3 linked regions of the Rattus norvegicus genome follow. The protein of the gene in region 3 purifies or fractionates together with the protein of the main gene of each other region. This does not show direct contact. Links are inferred from orthologs where the notes say so. Each region holds a gene or a part of one and is shown on either strand. Other genes may lie near its edges.

Region 1 (7,325 bases), on a different chromosome or scaffold from region 3:
TTTACCTAATATTTTTTTTTAATTTTAGAAACATGCAATGAGAAAATAATGAAGGTATTATTTCTTTAAAAGACCCAGTGTATTTAACACAGCTAAAAAGAAAATTTTGCCGACCTGCTTGCCAGCTGCTTGTGGTTGCCAGTCCCTTCACTTCATTGCAGATTCTTGGAAAACTGGCCTTTTAGTACATTTGGGATGTACTCGTTTCTTCACAAGGTTTTCTTTCTTTAGATGGCTCCTTCCAGAAGTTTGAAGTCACATTTAATACTTAAACGTTAAAAAATGCTAATCCACTGAGTGGGTGAAGACTATGCCTGTAATTCCAGCATTCAGGAAGCAGAGCCAAGAGGAACATTGTGCTTGGCCAGCGGGGGATACCTAGCAAAGTCCCTGTCTCCAAATATTTCAGATCCTAAGCAATACTGTGTTATCACATCCCTCTGCAATTATACAGTCACACAGGGGCCACACGAGCCTGTAATGCTGGCTTTTCAGTGGAAGGCTGAGACAAGAGGACAGCTTCTGAGCTAGGTGTGTGTCAAAGGTCAGCCTGGGCAACTTGATAAGGTAAAACCCTGTCTTGAAATAAAAAAGTAAAGCCAGGTGACTCGCACAGACATGTAATCTGAGCACTCAAAAGGCCTGAGGAGGACCAGACTTTAGTCATCCTCAGCAACATAATGGAATTTGAGGGAAGGAGGGCTCCATTGGCAGAGTTAGTTATGTCAGGGGAGTTACCCGCTAAACCCTAAAGGGGCACATGGACACAAGGGGGAGACCCTCATCGCCTCCAGGAGGGCACTGGCCACGCTGCAAGCTGTAGTCAGCCCGGCACAGCTCTCCAGGGCTCTCAATGAAACACAAATGAGTCTGACATAACACACTGACATAACACACGGCACTCACTGCTCCACACCCCCACATCACACACCACTCACCCCCACCCCCACTCCAGGCCCTTTTTTCCTCTTGTGCACCTTCCTTCCCAAAGCAAAGCTTAGACCTGAGCTTCCTTGAATGGCCTCAGTGCAGTCTTCACTTCTGGACTCCCACTAGTCAGTCATAACATTCCCTCTGGCCCCAAGTTCCAGTCACTTCCAAGATGGGGCCTTGCCCTTCTGTTGAGACTCCATTATCCAAGTAGTGTGTGGCTGATCAGTACTTAGGAGGTGGGGAACTGATGGTTCAGGTCACCAGTTTGTCCTGTTGTCCTGAGCCTATTAAGGAAATCTGGACTTGGGTGTACAAGAAGTCCAAATCATCTCCTTATGCTAAGCTGTAGGTGAACTTGAACTGACATTTGAATGACCAAACTACAGTAGAACGTGTGCATTCCTCCTGGCCGGTTCAGACCTATTCTCATGCCTCAACTTTGATTTAGATGTGGTGACGCTCAAGAGTATTAGGTACAGGGGTCAGTTGCATGTACAATAAGGCTAAATCAGATGCAAGGTTAACCGCCCTATATCTTCAGGCATGTGTCTTCAAAAGCAAGGGCCATGTCTGGCCTAGAACCCAGCTCTGCTGTGTCAGCCAACAGCATTCCGTGCTGCTGGGAAAAGGTGTACAGAAAATGACAAGGGCCATGCGGCACTCAGCTGAGGGGGTCCTTGCTTTCTTACCGTTGTTAAGATGAGAAAGGTAAGCTATGGAGTCTTGAACATTCCTGGGCTCTGACTGCAACAGCAGTGCATTTGTGTCACCACCGGCTTCCTCTCAAGTGACAGCACATTTTTGATATTGAAACCCCTCACTGACTGAGGTGACTGATATAGCAGACTTGTTAGATGGCTTTCAAGACCCTCTACAGACTATGAGGCCAGCTCTTCCACCTCCTTCCTCCTTAAATGCCACAATGAACATGTGGGAGCAAACAAGTTCCTCTTGAAGTTGCTTAGTAGAGGACGACGCACCTCTAACGCCACACTTAGGAGGTAGAGGAGGTAAATCTGAGTTGAGGGCTACAGATGACAGATTAAATTGTTGCAGTATTTTTTAAAAGATCATACATAATATATCAGGTGAATTGGAGCACCCTGGAAATGGGGAGAAGCACACTGGCTGGTTTAACCATGATTACTGGATTCCTGTAACAGGCACAGAGGGGTTACTCAAAGCAGAGCCAGAACGGCTCCGTCATAATGAGAATCTGTGAAATTGAAGCCAGGTTGGACAATATAGCAATTTTATTCCCAAGAAAAAGGAAAAAGAAGGTTTATGTTTATTGAGTCTTGGTCTATACCCAAGATCACTGCCTCAACCTCGTGAGGGTGGGATTACAGGTGCGGGCAATCATATACTGCAGAAACATCTTTTTATATTTGTGTATTCTCTGTGTGTGAATGCAGAGGACAGTCTTCCTTCTACTATTGGGGTTCCAGGGATTCACAAACCAAGGTTGGTCATCAGTGCTTACCTCTGAGCATCTTGCTAGCCCCCAAATACAGTTTTAAAGTTGTACTTAATTATTTCCTTCTTTGGACAACCCCCCAAATCGTAACAAAAAGATTTGTATTTACACTCTAGCAAAGTAATGTAGAGAAAGATAATAACAACCTTAAAAAAAAAAACAATTTACTTAAGGTTTGTTTTTTTTTTTTTTTTTTGGACAGGTTTGATTTGGTGTAGTGTTGGGAACTGAAGCCAAGGGCCTGGGGCACACTAACTCCATGCTGTACAACCAGCTGTGAAGGGGCTTTAAGGTTTAAAAGCAGAGCACTGCCTTTGGGACACTGATGTGTCCTTGTGATAATGCAGGCTGCAGCATGTACATATTCTCAGCAGTCATCACATACAAGGTGAACTAAAATTACTTAACCTGCTACAAACAAAATCAAGGATTCACAAACTATGGCATTTTATTTCAGAGCTTCTGCTTACATTTGTACAATATATTACATAATTCATCATGTTTGCAGATCCTAATATATACTTTATAGTTTTATTCTATTAGTTTTTCTTCAACATTTTGCTGTCAACAAATCTTTACAGTCTGTACAAATTTGAGTAACTTGAAACCATTTTTCAACAAAATTAGTTACTGTAAGCACACATTACAAGACTGAAAATGCTTTTCTTAGAAAGGTTCAATGTAAAGGATTAAGGATTCTGACACGTTAGCATCCACAACAAAACGCTTCAAAATTCTCACATGTATTGCCAGAAAACAAATAAAACATGCCAGCCTCATTCAAAAAAAAAAAAAAAAAGGAAGAAAAAAAGAAAGAAAAGAAAAGAAAAGCACACAGAACCACAATTAAAACAGTAAAACAGTCTGTACAGTGAAGTACTGTGTATTTAACAGCGCCAGGTTTTAAATAGCTTCAATGAACACATCCGCAATATACAAATGTATTACAAAGGTGGGGAATTAAATACAAGTGCCAAACAGAGATTGGAATCACACAACATAAAGTCAATACAAGTGAAAACAGCTTGGCGTTCATTTTGCAGTTTATACAAGGCATTTAATTGTATAGGCCTACTACCCAATTAGCTACGTATACGTAAAATAACAATCATCTTTGTGAGGCAGGTCATAGAAACAGCCTTGAACCATTCTAACAGTTTGTTCCTGAATTCTTTTTGTTGTAAGCTCATAATAAAATAAGCAATACAAATGAATTATCTGCATTTAAGGGAAAAGAAACATTTACAAGAAAACACAAAAATATAACTGTTATAATTCATTATGAATAAATATACACTTTGAACTGGCTAAGTACAATCTTTATACATTGTTTAAGATTTAATACAGTTTATTAGCCATTTTCTTTTTTCACACAATGTATTATATCAAAATTAAAAAAAAATACTGATTTATAGAAAAATGGCAAAGTACAGTAGTCCCATTTCAATTTAAGGGGTGTGAAAAGCCACCACATACCTTTTAGCCTAATTCAAACCTGTAAACATGTTCAGTCATTTTTAAAGAGAATCTTCAATATTTGGTTACCAGGATGAAATCTAATAATATCCTGTTAACTGCAGGTTTTGAATTTGTTACATGTGCTTGACTTATACAATTAAAGTCACCATAAGGTGACTTGCTTTAAAAAACAATTAGCTTGTACAAATGAAAATAGGTTCATATTTTTAATAAATGAATGGAAAAATATCAAATGTTCCAGCTTTAACAAAATACAAGGGAATACATATACAGTAAGTCATCTCACATGTTCTGGCCCACCTTTTCTCCACCTACTGCATCATCTTCACAGGCAGTGAAAAGCCTCCTCTGCCACAGTGGAAGGCCTTCGAGTTACCAGACACGCAATTCCCAGACAAGTTGGAAACAATTATTGCTTGAGGAAAAGCAGTTCGTTGTACTTTTTCTTCATAAAAAAAGTGCACTTAAGTGCCAAGTCAGCTTGTCAAGAAATAATTTTTAAATATAAAATAGTGCTTGTCTGATTTTGTGTGTTTGTGTGCCACTGTGCAGTATAAAAAAAGATGTGGCCCTCAACAGCCATTAAGTGCAAAGTGCTCTAGCAAGTCCTGCTGTCACCTGCACTCAACTGACATTCCATTCTGTGATGCACTGGACATTGACGGCTCAGCTAGTGTCAACATAACAGCAGCTGTTATGGAGCTGGATGAGGGAGAGGAGGAGGAGGAAGATGTAGCAGCACCTGAGGAAAAGGAAGAACACATGTGAGGCTACAAGGCAGGCTACACTGGGAAGAAGCAAAAGCTCATCTTCAGCCTAAACTTCTTTTGTGTTCTCCAAATTCAGCGTTTAGGAGCCATCCCTGCTCAAAGTACCATAGTGTAAAGAAGGGGAAAGTCCATGTATCTAAGCAGCAGACTGTTGCCCATCTGTAGAACGCAGATGGTACAGTATTTAGAGCTCAGTGACAATGTACTTGCTTGGACTACAAGGCCATTAGTTCTGTTCCTAGCCCTGCCAAAGAAAAAAGAAGCAAGGTGGAAAGGAAAGAGGGAGGAAAGGAATTGTGTATCCACACTGTAGAATACAAAATTAAAGAATAACTTTGTTCACTAAATACCCACCCAGTTTTGAATGAAAACAGGAAAAATGTCTGTCATTTCTGCTACTTTTCTAATACCACATTTCTGTACCACTTCTCCAATAAACTTTGAGACCTCAGAGACAGCTTACAGGTATACACTGCTTGCCTCTGTAGCCTAACAACCTGAGCTGAACTCCCAGAAGCTACAAGGTGGAAGAGAAGAAATGACTCCATGATGTTTCTTCTTGTGCACACTGCACTCAGACAATAAATGATTTTGTTTCCAAGTTTAAACAGAATGGGTGGTTCAGGTGAAAAGCTAACCATCTGTACGACCTCCCAGTGTTTATAATATACTGTTTTCCTCAACAGAATCATTATATCAACACACGGAATGGAATGTTTTAAGATAATACCTACATACACAAATAAGAAGGAAGTAAAGACCCAGTGAGACAGCTCTATGGATAAAGGCACCTGCCACCAAGCCTGTCCAGTCTGAATGTATATCTGAGATCCACAAGGTGGAAAGAAAGAACTCACCTCCAAAAGTTGTCCTCTGACCTCTAGATGTACATTGTGGTAGAGATGCACATATGTATGTGTACGTGCCTACATACATACGTACGTGTACATACACACACACACACACACACACACACACACACACACACACACACACAAAATGTAAAAGAAAGTTTTTGTCCCATACATGGGAGTAAGTTGGAGAAGCAAATTTGTTACCAGAGCTCTATTTGCCCAAATGCTCCCCTTCCTGTCCCTAGTTGTCCAATGTTTAAAACTTTGGATGAAAGTATTACTGTAAGGCCTAATCTTTGATAAAGACGGTTGCAATGATCCATAACCACACACTTATTTCTGCATTTCAGAGACTCTGGACTACCAGAGCCAAACAGTTTCTGTAGAGACTATAGTGGTCCTCAAATAGTCACCATGTCTCTAGAGACAACATCTACAACTCATGTTCTAAAAGAATTTCATCCTAGAATCTCGAAATGGGAACTTATACTTCCTAATTTAACAGCACTTATTAAAACACAGGGAGGAGCTGGGGAAGAAGCCCAGTCACTGGAATGACTGTAGAGACCCAGTTCCATCTCTAGAACCTATATAAAAAAGTAGGGCCTGGTGGCCAGCCAGTTTAGCCTATGAGCAAGGTCCAGGCAAATGAAAGGTGCTGTCTTAAAAATAAGGTATCTGAGGTTGTCTGTGGCCTCCACGCACAAGCAAACACACAAACACAGGTGGAAGGAAAGAGTAAATATTGTGCAGTGTCATACAGTGTACACTCTCTTGCTTTTACTTTGATTTAGGCTATGAGACAGGGTCTCACTATATAGCCCTGACTAACCTGACCTTGAACTTTTGCAAACACTGTCCTGCCCCTGCTTCTTGAGGGCTGCAGTATGGGCCAGCACCATAGTGCAAGATCATCCACATCAGCTCTATTGCCTTTTCTTCTCAAAGTTAAATAGTAGTATACTATATTTATGAATGAGAACTTCTTTAATTTCTAAGCTTTTGTTGTTACCAACAATGTAATATTTTGTACATAACAAATACAATTTTATTTAAGACAGGGTCTTAAGCAACACAGGCTAGCCCCAAATCCACCATTTAGCCAAAAATGGTATTTCTCCTGATTTTATTTTACCTTCCAAGTGTTGGAATTACAAGTGTGTGCCACCACACCTAGATACGAATACAAAAACTTAATGTCTGCTTTATTTTCATTGGCTTGAATATGCAATTAAATATTTTCCATCAGCAATGTTGCTAATTCAACATTAACTGATTCCCATCTTGATTGCGCATGGCTTCAATACTATGAACTAATGGAGCAGGCTTCCCTCACTCCCTGCTTCCATTGCTGCTCCTAGTCTATGTGCCACCCAGCATGTCATTTCCCTGTGTAAACGCTTCTAACAGCACTCTCTCTCCTCAGAATAAAACTGCAACCCCTCACTCTATCCTACACAGTCCCACATGTCTTGCCCTCTGTTTACCTGACTCAAATCTCTACTACTTTCACACCACAATGGTTTTCATTCTGGTGTGGAAAAGAACCAAGTATACTCTCACTTCAGAGCAGTGGTTCCTACCTAATTTGGGGTCATTCTACCACTCCTTCATCCTATGCATACCTGACAGTGTCTAGAAGCATTAACATGCTGTGCCACTGGCATGTGGGATGGCAGCTAGAAAAGCTGCTACATAGAGAACAGCTATCAAGCTCAAAAGCCAACAAGGTCACATTTAAGGAATTCTATCTCAAGGACATCTGTCAGGGACTTCTGGTGTGAACTGAGTCATGCACCAAAACTACCAATG
Region 2 (7,850 bases), on a different chromosome or scaffold from region 3:
TCAGGACGTGGTAGTTAGTGTAGGTTAGCAGTCTCTCAGGATGTGGAATGCATGGCTTTAGGCTCTTCCGGCTTCAGAGTTTCCACTGAGAAATCAGCTGGTATTCTGATGGATTTTTTTTTTACATGTGACTTGTGTTTTGTTTTGTTTTCTCTTGCACCTTTCATTACTCTCTCTCTCTTTGTTCTCTCCCTTGGTGGCTTGACTAGGATGTTCTGTTGGGATGTTCTTTTCTGGTCTTGTTTGTTTGTCTCGTATGCGCTTATATCTGTTTGGGTGTGACCTTCTTTAGTTTGAGACATTTTCTTCAGTGGTCTTCTTGGCCATTGGTCTGTGTCATTGACCTGGGATTCTTGCCCTTGTCTCTTCTCTAACTCAGACCTTGGTCTTTTCATGATATCCCACGTTTCCTGTGTGTTCCTTTCCTGGTTTGTTTTGTTTTCATATTCTTTGCTTATTTCTCTAGTTCCTCTTACTTTGTCTTCAGGTCCTGATATTCTGCTTGCTTGGTTCTCCGTGTAAGACTTTGCTTGCGTTGCCTGTTAGACTGGTAGGGATTTCCAGTTCTAGCTTCATCTCGCCTGGAGTTGCCATGTTTCTGTTTATTGAATTCAGTTTTCAAATGATGTATTTTCTGTCATTTCCATCAGCCTTGTGTTTGTGTCTCCTTGGGCACCATTCAGGCATTTTATTCTCTTTAAAGTCATTGAGCTGCTTTACATTCTTTAAACTTTTTAATTTCTTTGATGATGTTTTTTTTGTTTTTTTTTTTTTTAAGATTTTGTTTATTTCATGTATATGAATACACTGTAGCTGTCTTCAGACACACCAGAAGAGGGCATCGGATCCCTGTTACAGATGGTTGTGAGCCACCATGTGGTTGCTGGGATTTGAACTCAGGACCTCTGGAAGAGCAGTCAGTGCTCTTAACCGCTGAGCCATCTCTCCAGCCCGATGATGTTTTTTATTGTTTTATTTTTTTGTTTTTTTTTTTTTAATTCTGGGCCTCATCTTCAGGCAGTCCTCTTTGGGACCATTATTATAGGACTGATGAGTCTGGGGTAGATACTACCTTGACCGTTTATATTGTTTATATTTTTAGGATGAGATCTAGGTATATGGACTTCTTTAATTACTTCTATTCGATATGAGCAGAGTAGGTTGGGGCAGAACCTAGGATGTGCAGGCCAGGTTAGGCCTTGAGGTTGGACATGGCTTAAGTGGAATGAAGTTAGGCAGACATGGGAACCTGGGCTGGCATACATGGTGCATGTCCTGGTGTAAGCCTGGATTTGGGGGTAGATCAGGCAGTTGGAGAGGGTGCTTGCACAGGACAGGCACTGGGCCCTGGTGAAGGATGTGCAGGATCTGACTGGAAAGAACGGTGGGATGTGTCTTGAGAAGGGTCTGTAGGTTGTAGCCAGGTGGGGCTGGGAGAACTTGTAGAAGCCTAGAGGCAGGGGTGGCAAGACACTAGATGTGGGACCCAGCTCTGTTTTGGGGACTTGGAGAGCATGCATGGAGGGGAGGATCAGGCCAACCCTGGGAAGGATTGCCCCGTTACTATTGATTAAAGAATTACTTGCTTTGTGTGTGTATGTTTGCTGAGTTGTATGTATATGTACCACTTGCATGCATGGTGCCCACAAAGACCAGACAAGAATGTTGACCCTCATGCGGTTGGATTAGCAGTGGTTGTGAGCCACCGCATGGGGGCTCTTTAAGTGCTCAGCCAGCCGCCTCCACCTCTCGACTTTGACTTTTAATATTAACTTGCCCTTTATGTTTGGCATTAAGAAGTAGAGGCAAACTAAATGACAGTCTCCCGAGTACGCAGACTTTCTTGGACTTGACTAATTATTCTGTATGTCTATATGACAACAGGAGATACCTGGGGAGAGTAAGTTCCCTTTTGTCACCACGTGGGTGGGTCCCAAAGATCAAGCTCAGGTTGCCAAACTTCCAGACAAGTGCCCTCACCACTGGACCATCTCACCAACCCAGATTTGACTTTAAATCAAGCTGTACTTGAATGTACCCTGTATAGTAAGAAATTGAAGTTAACTTTGCTGACGCAGTTAGAAACATAACTCAAAGTCTGAACTGAGGAGAACTTAAACTTTGGAGAAATTTGGTAGACTGTAAGGTGAAATCCAACAGGAAGCAGTAGGGAGGATCGAACAGTTGATCACCTCATTCATGTGAGTGCTGTCCCAAGGTGCTTCATGACTATCTTCTAGTTTCTTCTAAAATCATTGCCATTTTATATCAAAATATTATGCTGAGAGGTGTGTGTGTGTGTGTGTGTACGTGTGTACGTGTGTACACATACACGCGCGCATGTACATAAGTAGTTGTGGAGACTAGAACAGTTGTTTCATGAGAACTGTCCACCTTATATTTTGACCAGGGTCTCTTACTCACCTGGAACTTGCCAATTAGGCTAGGTTTGCTGGCCCGTGAGCCCCAGGCATCTCCTGGTTTTTATCTTCCAAGGGAAGACTATCTCCATCCCTCAGGTTCACGCCACCATGCTCATTTTTCATACTAATTCTAGAGATGCTCTTGCGTGCACATCAGTGAATTTCTTAAACCTCTAATTAGTTCAATCTTGGGATCCCCAAAAAGCCAGGCTGCAAGTAAAAGGCCTGGTTGGTGAAGGCAAACTGTAGGCATTTATAAGGATTCTACTCACATGTCCAGCTTGCCCGTGAGTAGTAATGGAATTGATGCTTTATTGTCGTTAGCTAAGGTGGTGCCCCAGCAGATCACACACACTTCCCCTCGGATCCAGCCTGATTACCCTTCCGAGAGGAGCAGCCTGATCCCCATTTCCGGCCATCGGGCCTCTCCAAATCCTGTGGCCATGGAAACCCGAAATGACAACAGGTAGGAGGCAATGTCTCAGTCGCCCTCATCTTTCATGATATTGTCTTTGCTTTCCCCTCTGAAAATAATACACTATTGGATTTCTATTTTAGTGTTATAAAGTGCACAATTGTTATCAAGCCATTATTCTTCTGGTGGGTATTCTCCTAGTATCCATTTCTTGGTTGTGTTAAGTTTTGTTTTGTTTCTGGGTTTGGTGTTTTGTTTTTTAACCATTTTTAGAATATGGGTTGCGGGATCACAACCTTTCTCCATAAGTACTTATATCTGTTTCTCTTAGGCGCAGTATATTGTAAGCAATTACGGAGAGTTGAAATGATCGTATAGCCATCAGTTCTCTTTTCTACACCTTCATTGTAGCATTGACAGCCCAGTTACATTGTACAGTAGCAGTTTGTGGTTTTGTCGTATTGTGTCCTCACCATTAGATTGCGGCTGTGCATTTTTGGAATGGTTCATTCTCACCATTACAAAGCACATGCTGGCTATAGTCCTGTGGTTGCCAGGTTATTATAGTTAGTAAATGAGGGTGGAGGTGTTCATCGGTCATTTTCTAGTCTGGAGGGGGGTGTGTGGGGGATCAAATCTCTGTGAGTCTGAGACCAGCTTGGTCTACATAAAGAATTCCAGGACAGCCAGGAAGACAGTGAAACCCTGTGTCAATGACAACAACTTTGAAGCTATGACTTTTTATTCAATCATTGTATTTTCTGGTAATTCATGGCTGAATTAGTTACAGTATTTGCAAAGGACTGACTTTTCTGTTGCTTCTTCCATATCATGATTGGCTTTCTGAGGTGAAGAGACTTTCCTGTATATATTTATGTATTTGAGTTTTGTTTGACTTTGAATGTCAGAGCCTATGAATTTAGTTTTGTTAACTAGCAGGCAAGGGACTTAATTTCAGTCATTGCTGCCTTTTATTTGGAGTTAAGATGGACTCCTTTGGGATAACCTCAAGACCACACTTGTGGGATTCACCATCTCCCTTCCTCTCTAGCCCTTCCTTTATTTCCCACAACACATATCCATTGAGCCCAGGAGTCTGTTGTTTTCCAGGGGCCTTGGATCCTTTGGAGAGCTGCATTTCAACCTTTGCTTGGCTCTGGCTATAGATTGTTGGTCCTCCATGCCTTTGCTGCAGGCAAAGGTCAGAAGCGAGTGACATTTGAAGACATGCTGACACTTCAGTTCACCCCTGTCCCATATCTGTATTCCTTTCCCCACAGTGTCAGTCTTTTAGAAATATTTATGGTTTTACTTAATATTTTACTTTATATGTCCATCTACCAAGCTACATGTTCTTATTAGCTCTAAACTCTATATATTCTCTTAGATTCCCAATGCAAGCATTCACATTTCATCTACAAATAGGCAGGACCATTGTTTGTTCACTTGTTGCATATAGACAGCATCTTTTCATTTGCATTTATTTTAGGAAGTAGCCAGAGTTCTCAGTATGATGTTAGCGGGATGGCTCAGCAGTTAGGGGCTGGCTGCTCTTCAGAGGATCTGAGTTCAGTTCCTAGCACCCACATGGCAGCCTGCAACCATCTCTAACTGCACTTCCAGGGAATCTTAACCCACTCTGGCCTTCAAGGCCACTGTATGCACATGGCACACATACATACATGCAGACCGAACATCCATACACATGAAGTAAATAACAAAATTAAAGTACAGTGGTAGGGGAGATGGCGAGCCTCCTTGTCTTATCCCTGCCTTAAGTGGAATCTTTGATAGATTCCATTCCATCCTGTCTACAGTGTGATGAATAGAAGTTCTCTTTCTATTTTAAGCCTTTAGTTCTTGAAGGGTGTGCTGCGGATATTTTTTCTGTTTTTGTAAATTTTTAAACTGCTTCAAATAGTTGCTTTCTTTGGGTTTTTGTAAATATGTAAAGCATGAATAGCAAATGGGACTGAGTTATTATTTTCTTCCTGTGATTGTAATGGACTTGTTTCTCTGCATAATTCAAATTTGTGTACAATTCTTCGGTCTAAGTATAGAGTAAAATTTGTTGTCTTTTCTGACCATTTTTGGTATCAAGAAAGTATTCAGATCAGAAAAACAAAGTAAATCTCATTTTCTTATTTTCTGGTCTCTGAATTAGTTTTTATAAATTAGAGGGGTTTTTTTTTATGCATGTTAGATTAAATTTTCCAACAATAGCAATATAACTGTGTATCAAGTGGAATAGTTCATTGGCTGCTTGATTGGCTAGAGAAGGGATCTTTAGTATAGTGTAAGTACCCATAGTCATCTCAAACTCTGGGACTCAAATGAACTTCCCATCTCCTGGGCTTTTGTCACTTCTTTTGGTTATTGTCTTAGAAAACATCCTTAAAGTCTTAAAAAAGTCATCTGTGGGGGTTGGGGATTTAGCTCAGTGGTAGAGCGCTTACCTAGGAAGCGCAAGGCCCTGGGTTCGGTCCCCAGCTCTGAAAAAAAAAGAACAAAAAAAAAAAAAAAAAGTCATCTGTGGAGCCTGTTGTAACATTAACTGACGTGTACTAATAGCAACCATGTACTGCTTTCTGGTTCTTGGTTTTGTCCTTTGATGTAAAGTTGGGACACAGTTGGGAGACTGTAGTGCTGTGCACTGTGACAAGGGGGTCTGGGGCATGGGGTCCTTTGCATGAAGAGACTGACTTTGTTCCGTGCAATCTGTGCTGTATTTCTAGACCTTCGGTTCCTGTTCAGTTCCAGTACTTCCTGCCAACCTACCCGCCCTCTGCCTACCCGCTGGCTGCCCACACCTACACCCCTATCACCAGTTCTGTGTCCACTATCCGGCAGTACCCAGGTACGAGCGGCCACTGAAAATCACTTTTGCATGTTGTCACTTTTGTCAGCAACGAGAAAGAAGCTGATCAGAGGGCTGGAGAGACGGCTCAGCGGTTAAGAGCACTGACTGCTCTTCCAGAGGTCCTGAGTTCAAATCCCAGCAACCACATGGTGGCTCACAACCATCTGTAATGGGATCTGATGCCCTCTTCTGGTGTGTCTGAAGACATCGACAGTGCAATCACTCACATTAAATAAATAAATAATTCTTTAAGGGAAAAAAAAAGAAACTGATCAGAGTATCTCAGTAAGATTCTAGCTTCCTGCCAGATTCAGATCATGTAAGACTGTAAGCGCCTTTAATCAACATGTTTATGATCTATGAAGGGTGGTTTCTTACTTGTGATATTTGAATAGTTTTAGCCTACCCTGAGAATAATCATGTGACTTAAAATGATATAATTTCTGAATGAAGCTGTATTCTACAGGTTAGTTTTAAGTCTTGGTATGTTTTAATTTACCAACCTGATTTGTAAATGCTAATTTATCAAATAATCCAGGAAAAATAAGTGTGGATTTTTTTGTTTTGGGTTTTGATTTTTTTGGGAGAGGAGGGGTTGTTTTTTGGTATTTTGGCTTTCGGTTTTTTGAGTTAGGGTTTCTCTTTATAACAGACCTGGCTGTCTAGAACTCCCAGGTCATCTTTAGTAGACCAGGCTACCCTTGAACTCACAGAGATCTGTCTGCCTGTGCCTTCAGAATACTAGGATTAAAGGTGTGCCCCACCATGCCTAGCAAAGTTTTTTTTTCATTTTTTGTAATGTTTATTTATGTGTAAATATATACACATGTGTTTGAGTGTCTAGAGAAGTCAAAGTGTGTCAGATTCCTTTGAGCTGGCGTTACCAGCATTTGTAAGTAGCACAAGCATGAGCGATGGAGCAGGAAGCACTAACTCTTAACTGCTAAACCAACTCTGTCCCTAGAAAACATTCCTAGCTTTTGAGTTTGTATAACTTTTTCCCTAGATCTCAGACAGCCTTGTCCAGAGTGAGCCAAGTGTGGGGCTATTTTATAGATGATAGAATCCCAGCACATACAAAGCTGAGGCAGGAGGATCACACATTCAAGATTAGCCTGGGTCACATAGCAGCTTCCAGGCCTACCTGTGTTGCTCTGCATGACCCAGTCCCCCACCACCCAACCCCACCCCATAAAAAATTTCGGGATGAGGATGTGGCTCAGTTGGTGGGGCATTTGCCCATCACCCACAGATCTCTGGTTTGATACAAAGCCACATAAACCAAGCTTGGTGCTTTATGCCAATATTCTGAACACCAAAGAGCGTGGGGAGTCAAAACGTCAAGGCTGTCTGCTACATAACAAGTTTGAGTCCAGCCTGGGATACATAAGATCCTGTCTTTAAAAACTAAGCCTGAGCAGGCAAGATGGCTTACAGAGAATAACTGTGGGAGCTGGTTCTTTCCTTCTACTGTGTGGGTTTGGGGGTAGAACTTACATGATCAGGCCTGGCCCTTACCTGCTGAGCCACCGCCTCGCCAAGTCTTTGTTACTTGGAAATAAAATCCCCTGTATTTCAGGCCAAAGTGCTATGTGATGGGAGATGACCTTGAACTTGTGACCCTCCCCCTTCAGTGTGCTGGGAATGCAGACATGAACCACACCAGGTTTCAGACCTGTTTGTTTATTAGTTGTCACTGAGAGAAGACGGTATTTTTAAATGTTTATTTCACTATTTTCAGTGTGTGTGTGTGTGTGTGTGTGTGTGTGTGTGTGTGTGTGTGTGTGTACATTACGTGTATGTGAGCTCAGGTGTTCACGGAGGCCAGTTACAGATGGTTTTGAGTCACCAAACATGGTACTGGGACCAAACTGCTGACTGTCTCTCTAGCCCCCTCTTTCCTACTTTTGTTTTTAATGATGGGGGGTTGGAGGGGTGGCTGTGTTCGAGTCTGAGTGCTGGTACCCAAGAAGTCCAAATCAGGTCACCGAGTGCACTGGTGTTTCAGTGGCAGGGGATTGTGAGAAATCGCATGGGTGCTGGAAGCAAACTTGGGTCCCCTTGAAGAGCAGTGTCCTGTTCGCCACTGTACCATCTCTGCGGCTACTGGAAAACTGAGAATTGTGTGTGACCTTATATTCCCATTTGAACA
Region 3 (8,308 bases):
GGTTCCCTGAATAAGCCAGGATGGCACACAGAGAGCCAGCCCTCTAGCCAGGGACTCTGCAGAAGGCACTAGATGGTGATAAGGACAGTTACTATGGCAACAGCCATAGTAACCAATAATCCAACAGAGAATTTTCCTATGGTCCAACAATCACAATCCTATAATCAGATCCAAAACCTAGAAAGGACTCATACACCAACATTCAATGAAGCACCACTCACAAAAGCCAAGAAAAGGAGGAAAAACTCAAAATCCCCAGACAAGTGAAACGTAGTTCACCCAGTGGGACATTTCTGAGGCAAGAAAAGAAACACTGACACACTATGATGTGAGTGTCTGAGAAAATGGCCAGACGGGGTAACGTACATTCAAGAAATAGATGAGTGCTTGGCAGGGTCTGTTCCGAGGGTGACAGAATGTTCTGGAATTAGTAGTGATACTTGTACAACCATAATACAACTTTCTATTGTGATCTTAGGAAAATATAAAAACCACCACTACACAGCCTACAAGCTGTAGCAAGACAAGCCCTGCTGGAACTTTCTACAATAGCTCCATCCTTTTCCCTGCCTGCACGTAGGGTAACTTGTTTACACAGCTAACACTCACACAGCCTCACACTTGCCCAGAACCATGCAGCTCTCCTGGATATTCAGGAACCTAAATGAGCCAACAGCCAGCCATAGTTACCAGGGCCCCGTGGCCTCTGGCTCTACCAGAAGGGCCAGTCAGAACCATTGGCACATCTTACCTCACTGATCCCCTCACTGTCCTCCCCAACCTCTCAGGGGTTCTGGATTAGCTGATTCCTGGCCATGCAGTGTCCCGTACGCCTGCCTCTCAGCTTCCCTCCAGCCCTACTCTATTTTACAGACAACCCTCCTAATGGCCCCATCCCTCCAAGGTCCTTCCCTATGTGGGTCCAGCTCCCACAAAGTCCCTACTATCAACATTGGGAGTCCTACACCCAAACCCCAAATTAAACAAAGGGCCAGTGTCCAAGGATGTGGTGGTTTGGAATTCATCAGGCCCAAGACACTACCTGTCCTTGTCAAAAAAATCACCAAGCCTCCCCACGGAGGGTGGTAAAGGACCAGCTTCCTGTGAGTATGCAAGACCAGGGACCTACTCTGACTGTCCCCAGGAGCTAGGTGTCCCATCCTCATTTGCCCACTGACAGCTGGTTTCCTACTCCTCCCCTAAAACAGCTCAGTGATGCAGGTAAAGGTCTGCTTCCCCTGAAGAGCTTGGTCAGGAGGGCAGCACCAACACAAGGAATATCCACTCCTCCCACCTGTGAGTGCCAGTGGGGACACTGAGGCAACAGCGGGAGAAGCTGAGGCTTCCTGAGGGAGAACAGCAGGTGAATGTGCTCCAAGCCTCCTGCTTATGACAAGGCATGGTTATCTATGCCCTCCCTTCACAGGAGGCAGATGAGATAAGGGCTTACTCCGTAGACCAGGCTTGGCTTTGAACTCATGGCAAATCTCCTGAGTGTGAAATGACACCTTGAATCAAAGCACCCAGCTCTGCTTGACCCTGTGTTGTCAACTGGGGTCCTGGTGCTTGTTACCTGGCTTTCAGCAAGGGTATAGGTGTCCCTGCATTAAAAAGGCAGAGGCCCTGGGTGCTACACCACATGCTAGAATACGGAACTCCTCACAAGAAAGAATAAGAGCCTGCCACACACATCCCAACAGCTGGGGACTCCGTCAACACCTTTGTCAGAACATATGGGAAGAGTGTTCAAATGTGGCTGTGAAACCTAACTAATGATAGGAGAGGGAGGGGGGGACGGCAGGAGGGAAGGAAGGAGGAAAGGAGGGAGGGAGGGAGGAAGGGAGGGCGGGAGGGAGAGAAAACACGCACACAAGAACGCTGCATTTCAAAACTCTAAAGCTGGGTGCTGCGACGGTGCCTATCATTCCAGCACTCTGGAAACTAAAGCAGGAGATTGTCTAGTTACAGAGCCAGGCTGGGATACAAAGACCACGTCTCAAATAATAAAAACAGCATAGATAGAAAAATGGCTGAAAATTAGAAATCAGCACGGTGCTGACATGTGGGGATGTGTAAAGTTTGGAACCCCAAGTTAGAAAGCAAGAAACACCTGGGTCAGAATCCCAATTGAGCACTATCAGGTCATTTGCTGTCCCTAAGATTAAGGGAGCAGCTCCAGAGTACTCCAAGGGAATGTGACTCAGGACAGGCAGAGGTGCCCTGTTCTTGGATCTAAGACTGTCTTGGTCATCCTTTCTGTAAGTCACAGGGGCTCCTTGGTCACCTAAGCCACCTATGAAGGGAGCAGTCCACCCCCATGACTCAAACTCCACTTCCGGCCAGCTCCCATTCCCTGTAGCTTAGCTTTCTAGTGAGTGGGGTCCTGAGTTCTGACATCATGCACGCCCTAGGAACTGCTCGTTCTCTTGACACAGCTCACACTGCCTGGTCCACAGCCACAGAGTCCAGAAGTTCTGTCTGTTAAGGCACTGACAGTCGCAGTTCCTGGGTACCAGGTACAGGTGTGAAACGGAAGATGCTGGAATCTCAGTGGCACATGCTTCTAGGAGTTCCCTCTGAAAACTGGGCAGGGCGGGGCTGCAGGAGGCAGGGTGATGGGCAGGGCCAACAGAACTTACACAGGAGCCGCTTGGAGGGCCTGTGGGGCCACACCACCTTCCCAGAGTCCCCTCCAACCTCACAGAAAGCCTGTGGTGGCTCCCGTGTCATCCTAGCACTTGAAAGACTGAGGCATGAGGATGAGGTTCTGAGCTACGGTGAGAGTGGCAGTGTGGAGAACTACAGACAGCAGGCTGCAGAGCCCAAGCCTGAGCTGAGAAAAGAGCGTCTGGTAATCCTATGACACAGTGAGAGGAACAGTTATTCCCATGCACACAGCTCAACCACCTCGGTCTTACTGATGGACTGACACAATGGAAGCCGAAGAGGCCAGTGCACACTTGGCCTGGTAGGTTTGTTGGGAAACCCTGGAGACCAGATCTCAGCTACTAGTGATTCAATGACCCTGACATCTCCTCCCTGCATGCCCGCCCCAAGTGCTAGGGATTAAACCCACGCTGAGTGTACTGTCTCACACTGACCCACACTCCAGCCATTACACTGGATGGGACAGCAAAGGCTGTCTCTGTGTTTCTGTCTGGCCGTACACTAGAGAACCTAGAAAAAGAACAGGCTGTACAAAGGCTGCCAGCAATATCAAAAATGTCTAGCTGTCCCTGTGGGTACGACTCTTGAGGTCCACATCACTCAAGCGAAACCTACCTGGTTGCTCAGAGGTGACTGGATGTTCAACTTGCCGTTCTTGGGAATGTCTATGCGGTATCCAAGCGGAAGGAAAGCATTAAACCCCACGATGAGGTCAGGGTGCTCATGGAAGAGCTGGGACACACGCCTAATCACGCCGGGGGTGTCAATGCTGGAAAAAAAGAAATGCAAGTGGGCAAGCATCCTGGGAGTTAACTGCCCAGGTGCCCTCGAGATCAACTCAGCCCAGGCTTAGTGGATAGATGACAAAGAAAATGGGCCCTAACACGTTGTTCTGTTTTTTCCTTTGGAGACAGGGTTTCTCTGTGTAGCCCTGGCTGGCCTCCATATGCCTGCTTCTGCCTGAGATTAAAGGTTTGCACAACCATGCCCCACTAAATAAATGGGCCCCACCATGTGAGACCACCTGTGACTAGGTCTAGCAAGAACTGTAACTGTAACTATATATATATTATATATATATATGTGTGTGTGTGTATGTGTGTATATGTGTGTATATATATATATGATAGTTTTGTGTGTGTGCACACATGTGCATGCGTGATGTATATAACTACATAACTGTATCTCCAGGCCTGGGCCCAATTCTGAAAATGTCCCCACGAGTTGGGTGCTGGGCTGAGACTCAACACAGTTCTCCAAGCAATGTGAGAAATTCCCTCATATTTTGTGAGTTAGAGATGGGTGAGGATACATTTTAATTTCTTTTCTAAAGGGAGTGTGTAAACACTGGAGCCTTCAAGTTGGGGGACTGGTAAAGTTGGGATGACACAAGTGTCTTCTTCTGGCCTCAGTACCCTGAATGTCCACAAGAAACCAGCCCAGTCCTTCCACACATCCAGAAAGCAGACAGGCAGGTCAGTACCAGGATCTGGGGGAAGTCCACTGACTGACAGTCTGGGTTCTAGCTCCACCCACCTGTCACTAGAGTAAGTTCCTTACCTAAACCAAGTCGCCCCTCCCAGAAGGTTCTAGAAGACATACACATAACTCAGAGGCAACCAATACACCTAACTGCTACGTGTCTACAAACAGTTCCTTTATAACCACACTGGTTCCGGATTGGTAAGTGCTATGAAAAGCATCTTTGGGACAAGAGTTAAAAAAGAGATTGTGCATACCCCTCCTAAGTAATATTTTCTTGCAGTATTAACAAAAGACGCTGCCCAAAACAAACAATCAAAATCTGTACCACCACATTTATTTTCTGCGTGTACCACAGATCTCAAGTGCAGGTCGACGACTCACAGGAGTCAGTTCTCTTCTCTCTGGGGCTGGAACTCCCAGTGCTCAGGCTTGGTGGTAGGCACTGTTACCCACTAAGACATTTACTCTACCCCAAATCAACATTTTAAAGACACACCCAACACTCCCTGTCCAGGCCTCAATTCCCTAATTCCTTTATTCCTTCCAGGAATCCCTACCAGTTCATCAGAACTACCTCATCTGGTGAAGGGGCTCCCAGGGCCCTCCAATCCTGTGCGTGATCACCAGCTGTGTAGTTAGTTTGGGGGTTGGAATGCTCGGCCCACTGCTCCTAGGTGTACAAGGCCCTGTAGATTACCTCTGGCTTTTGAACTCCTTCATGATCTCCAGGAAGCCGTTGTAGGTGGCAGGGTCACTGCCAAAGCGGATCTTCACCTGGTCGAGGTAGGTGAGAGCATCCTCCACCTGCAGGGAACAAGAAGGCCATGGGTGGGCAGGGGTCGGGGGATGCAGAGACTGAGGGCTGGAAGGTCAGGGATAGAGAAGGGGTGGCACCGGGCAGCAGAGGGCCGCGAGGATAACTGCGATGTTCCGGGAAGGACCGACGGCTGATTGGGAGGACCGAGAGCCAGCGGGTAGTCCCGAGGGGCCTCGAGGAGTTCCGGATTGGACCGAGGACTGGCGGGGAAGACCGAAGGGTCTCGGGGAGGTCACGAAATCCCCTGGAAGACCGAGGGGCGGCAAGAGTAACTAAGGGCCAACTAAGAGGACCAAGGATTTTCGGGGCGCACCGTAGGGTCCCGGGGATGACAGGGACCGCAGGAATGACTGAGGGATGTCGAGAAAGACCGCCGCATCTCTGAGAAGTCTGAGGAGCGGCGGGAATGAGTTGTTAGGGGGAAACCGAAGAGCCGCCCCAAAGACCGAAGGATTCCGCGGAAGGGGTGTGGGATCCCCGGGCCCGGGCTGCGCAGAGGGGAGGCCAAGGCGGGGCCGCACGGCGGGGCACCATCCCCGCGGGGGTCTGGATCCCCTGGAGGAGGCGAGGGACATCACTCACGTGCACTGGCAGCTTCTCGTGCCCCCCAGAGCCCGAACGACCCCAGCGGGAGCCACCGAATCCCCGGCCCGCGGAGCCTCCACCGCCTGCGTGCGCCATGTTGGAAGTCAGAGTCGCGTCTGCCCCGCCTCCGCTTGAGCTCAGGTCGCGCTTGCGCGAGCCCCGCCTCCTAGGGGTGGAGACTCCTGGCGTCAATGGGGCGTGTCCGCTCGAGGGACCTGCGGGACAGGCAGGTGATCATTCTCAAACTATGTGCCCTGGGGGGTCTGTGGCCACCTGGAAAGCCAAAAGTGTTTTTTGTTTCGTTTTGTTGGAGAAAAAGGAAGTAAAGCAAAGTTGAAGAATCTTTAAAAACGCATTAATTCTATAAAATTCGCATTTCAGCGTGCAGGCTCACCTGTGATCTCAGTACCAGGGAGTCTGGGAGAGGATCACTGAAAGTTCTAACCTAGACTGGGCTACATAGTTAAGACTATGTCTTTTAAAAATCGACAGGTATTGACCTTGTCTTAAAAAGAGAGGGAAAACAAGTATATGTCTGTGTTGACCCAAGACCCAATAGTGATATTTGTAAGGATCTGGTTCTTTCTGGAACAAGTTTCTGAACTTTCTGTGGGGTTAATATAGCGATGGACTGTAAGTGAGCAGCATTCATTCAAGAGCCACATGGACTGAGTTCTTGCGCGCGCGCACGCGTGTGTGTGTGTGTGTGTGTGTGTGTGTGTGTGTGTGTGTGTGTCTGTGTGTCTGTGTGTCTGTGTGTCTGTATGTGTGTGTGTGTGTGTCTGTGTGTCTGTGTGTCTGTGTGTCTGTGTGTCTGTATGTGTAAGTAAACTCACTCCTATATATATGTACAGAGGCCAGAGATGGACCTCCCAGCTCTTGTGTTTTGGGGGCAGGATCTCTTACTGAACCTGGAGCTCATTGTCTCCACTTTATATGGTGGTCATGGGTCTGCCCCTAGTCTGGACCCTCCTGCTTGCTTAGAGCAAGCTCTTTATCCACTAACTCCTCTCACAATTCCATTCCTTGATTCTGTTCACAGATGGGTGCAAACCTGGACCATGTGACCTCTGCTTCCAGACTGACTTTATTTTTGCGGGGCTGGGACTGGGGCCCACTTTAGACAAGTGCTCTACGGGTCTACATTTCCAACCCTTTATTTTTTTTTTAAATGAGACCTTCTCAGGTTACCCTCCAACTTGCAATCTTGTGGTCACCCTACCTTCACAGGTGCCACCATACTTGCCTCCAAATTTCCCCGTTTTAAAAGTTTGTATAGGCCTGTAGAAAGAGAAGTCAATGAAGATAGGGCTATTTTAAGACACAGATATACAAGGAAGTCCATCCCAGCTACTGTTTTTAAAATGTAAAACAAGGAAATATACTGCATTTATTTGTGGATAAAGTTAATCAGATACATAATTCTTCCTATATTTTCATATAAAAATGTTCTCTCCCATAAGTATATTTGTGGCAGGGCATGATAATGTTGCCTATAAGCCCAGTACTTGACAGGTGTTAGAAGAAGGATTTTGGGGCAGTGCTGAACTGGTCATTTCCATGCCAGGAAGAGGCCCCCTCTCAAAAATAGGAAGTATGGTAGAGGAGCTGGGGGAATGAGTCTGTGGTTAAAAGCCCTTGTTGCTCCCACAGAGGACCTATCCTTGGTTCTCAATACCTACATGGTGGCTCACGACTGCTTGTAACTCCAGTTTCAGGAGATCTGACACCTTCATTGACCTCTGCAGACACCAGGCCCACATGGTACACAGAGATCCATGCCAATCGAACATTCACATATTCATGAAACCACTTTTAAGTTTAAACAAGGTAGAAAGCAATAGAGGAAACTACCTCATGTGTACTTCCGGCCCCTACATGCATCCATACACACATGCACACCTATGTGCACACAATAACAAAAACATAAGGACCTAACTAGCTCTCACCCCTTAGCTTCCACCGGCTGCCAGTGCCCTCACACTGTGAGACATGCTCCCAGCACATGCCAGCCAAATCCAAACTCCAGCAGTCACTGGGGATGTCAAAAGTAATGGGGCTTTATACACGTGCTTATGATCCTGAAAGAGTTGATTTTCTGGCATGCATGGTGGCCAGGGATTAAACAGTAGTGACAGAATCCTAGGGCAAGCTGGCCAGCCAGGATGACTGCATTGGCTAGGTTAAGCAACTGAAAACTGTTAGTTTTCTGTCATTTGGGAAGAGAGAACCTCAACCAAGAAAATGCCTCCATCAAATTGGACTCGGGCAAGTCTGCAGGGGCCTTTTCTTGATTAATAGTTGATATGTGAGGCTCCAACCCAGTGTGGGTGCTGCCAATCCTGGGCTGCTGGTCCTGCTGAGTTTAAGAAAGCAGGCTGAGCAAGCCATGGGGAGCAAGGCCATAAGCAGCACCCTCCATGGTCTGTTTCAGATCCCACCTTGTCCTGCCATCCCTCAGTGAAGGGTTATGATATCGAACTGTGAGCTGGAGTAAACACCTCCCCCCACCTGCATGCTGCCTCCTGTCATGGTGTTTCATCACAGCAACAGACACCCAAGGACAGTAAGAGACCCTGAGGTATGTAGTGGTCAAGGTAGACACCTAAGGCTAACTTGTGACCTCCAGGTGAATACTCACATGAGTGCACATGATCTCATGAACATGAGGCTAAACATACAGATGAGACAGACAGACAGACAGACAGACAGATGGAGACAGACAGACAGACAGAGACAGAGAAGCTAGTCATG

Evidence for each region. Proteins that work in one complex are often made in the same cells at the same time.
Region 1: the proteins of Sin3b (region 3) and Arid4b purify together in Homo sapiens (affinity purification with mass spectrometry; 3 studies listed by BioGRID and IntAct, with this or other methods). This does not show direct contact. The link is inferred for Rattus norvegicus from reciprocal best matches to the Homo sapiens genes SIN3B and ARID4B.
Region 2: the proteins of Sin3b (region 3) and Sap130 purify together in Homo sapiens (affinity purification with mass spectrometry; 3 studies listed by BioGRID and IntAct, with this or other methods). This does not show direct contact. The link is inferred for Rattus norvegicus from reciprocal best matches to the Homo sapiens genes SIN3B and SAP130.

Annotation. Positions count from the first base shown.
Region 1 is NC_086035.1:55,831,075-55,838,399, forward strand, and holds the end of Arid4b (AT-rich interactive domain-containing protein 4B), read right to left. Parts: intron 4,632-7,325; coding exon 4,504-4,631; 3' UTR 2,834-4,503; downstream 1-2,833. UniProt on the Homo sapiens protein: Acts as a transcriptional repressor. May function in the assembly and/or enzymatic activity of the Sin3A corepressor complex or in mediating interactions between the complex and other regulatory complexes.
Region 2 is NC_086036.1:23,577,728-23,585,577, forward strand, and holds part of Sap130 (histone deacetylase complex subunit SAP130), read left to right. Parts: intron 1-2,747; coding exon 2,748-2,889; intron 2,890-5,573; coding exon 5,574-5,695; intron 5,696-7,850. UniProt on the Homo sapiens protein: Acts as a transcriptional repressor. May function in the assembly and/or enzymatic activity of the mSin3A corepressor complex or in mediating interactions between the complex and other regulatory complexes.
Region 3 is NC_086034.1:17,188,380-17,196,687, forward strand, and holds the start of Sin3b (paired amphipathic helix protein Sin3b), read right to left. Parts: upstream 5,673-8,308; 5' UTR 5,651-5,672; coding exon 5,552-5,650; intron 4,957-5,551; coding exon 4,850-4,956; intron 3,437-4,849; coding exon 3,283-3,436; intron 1-3,282.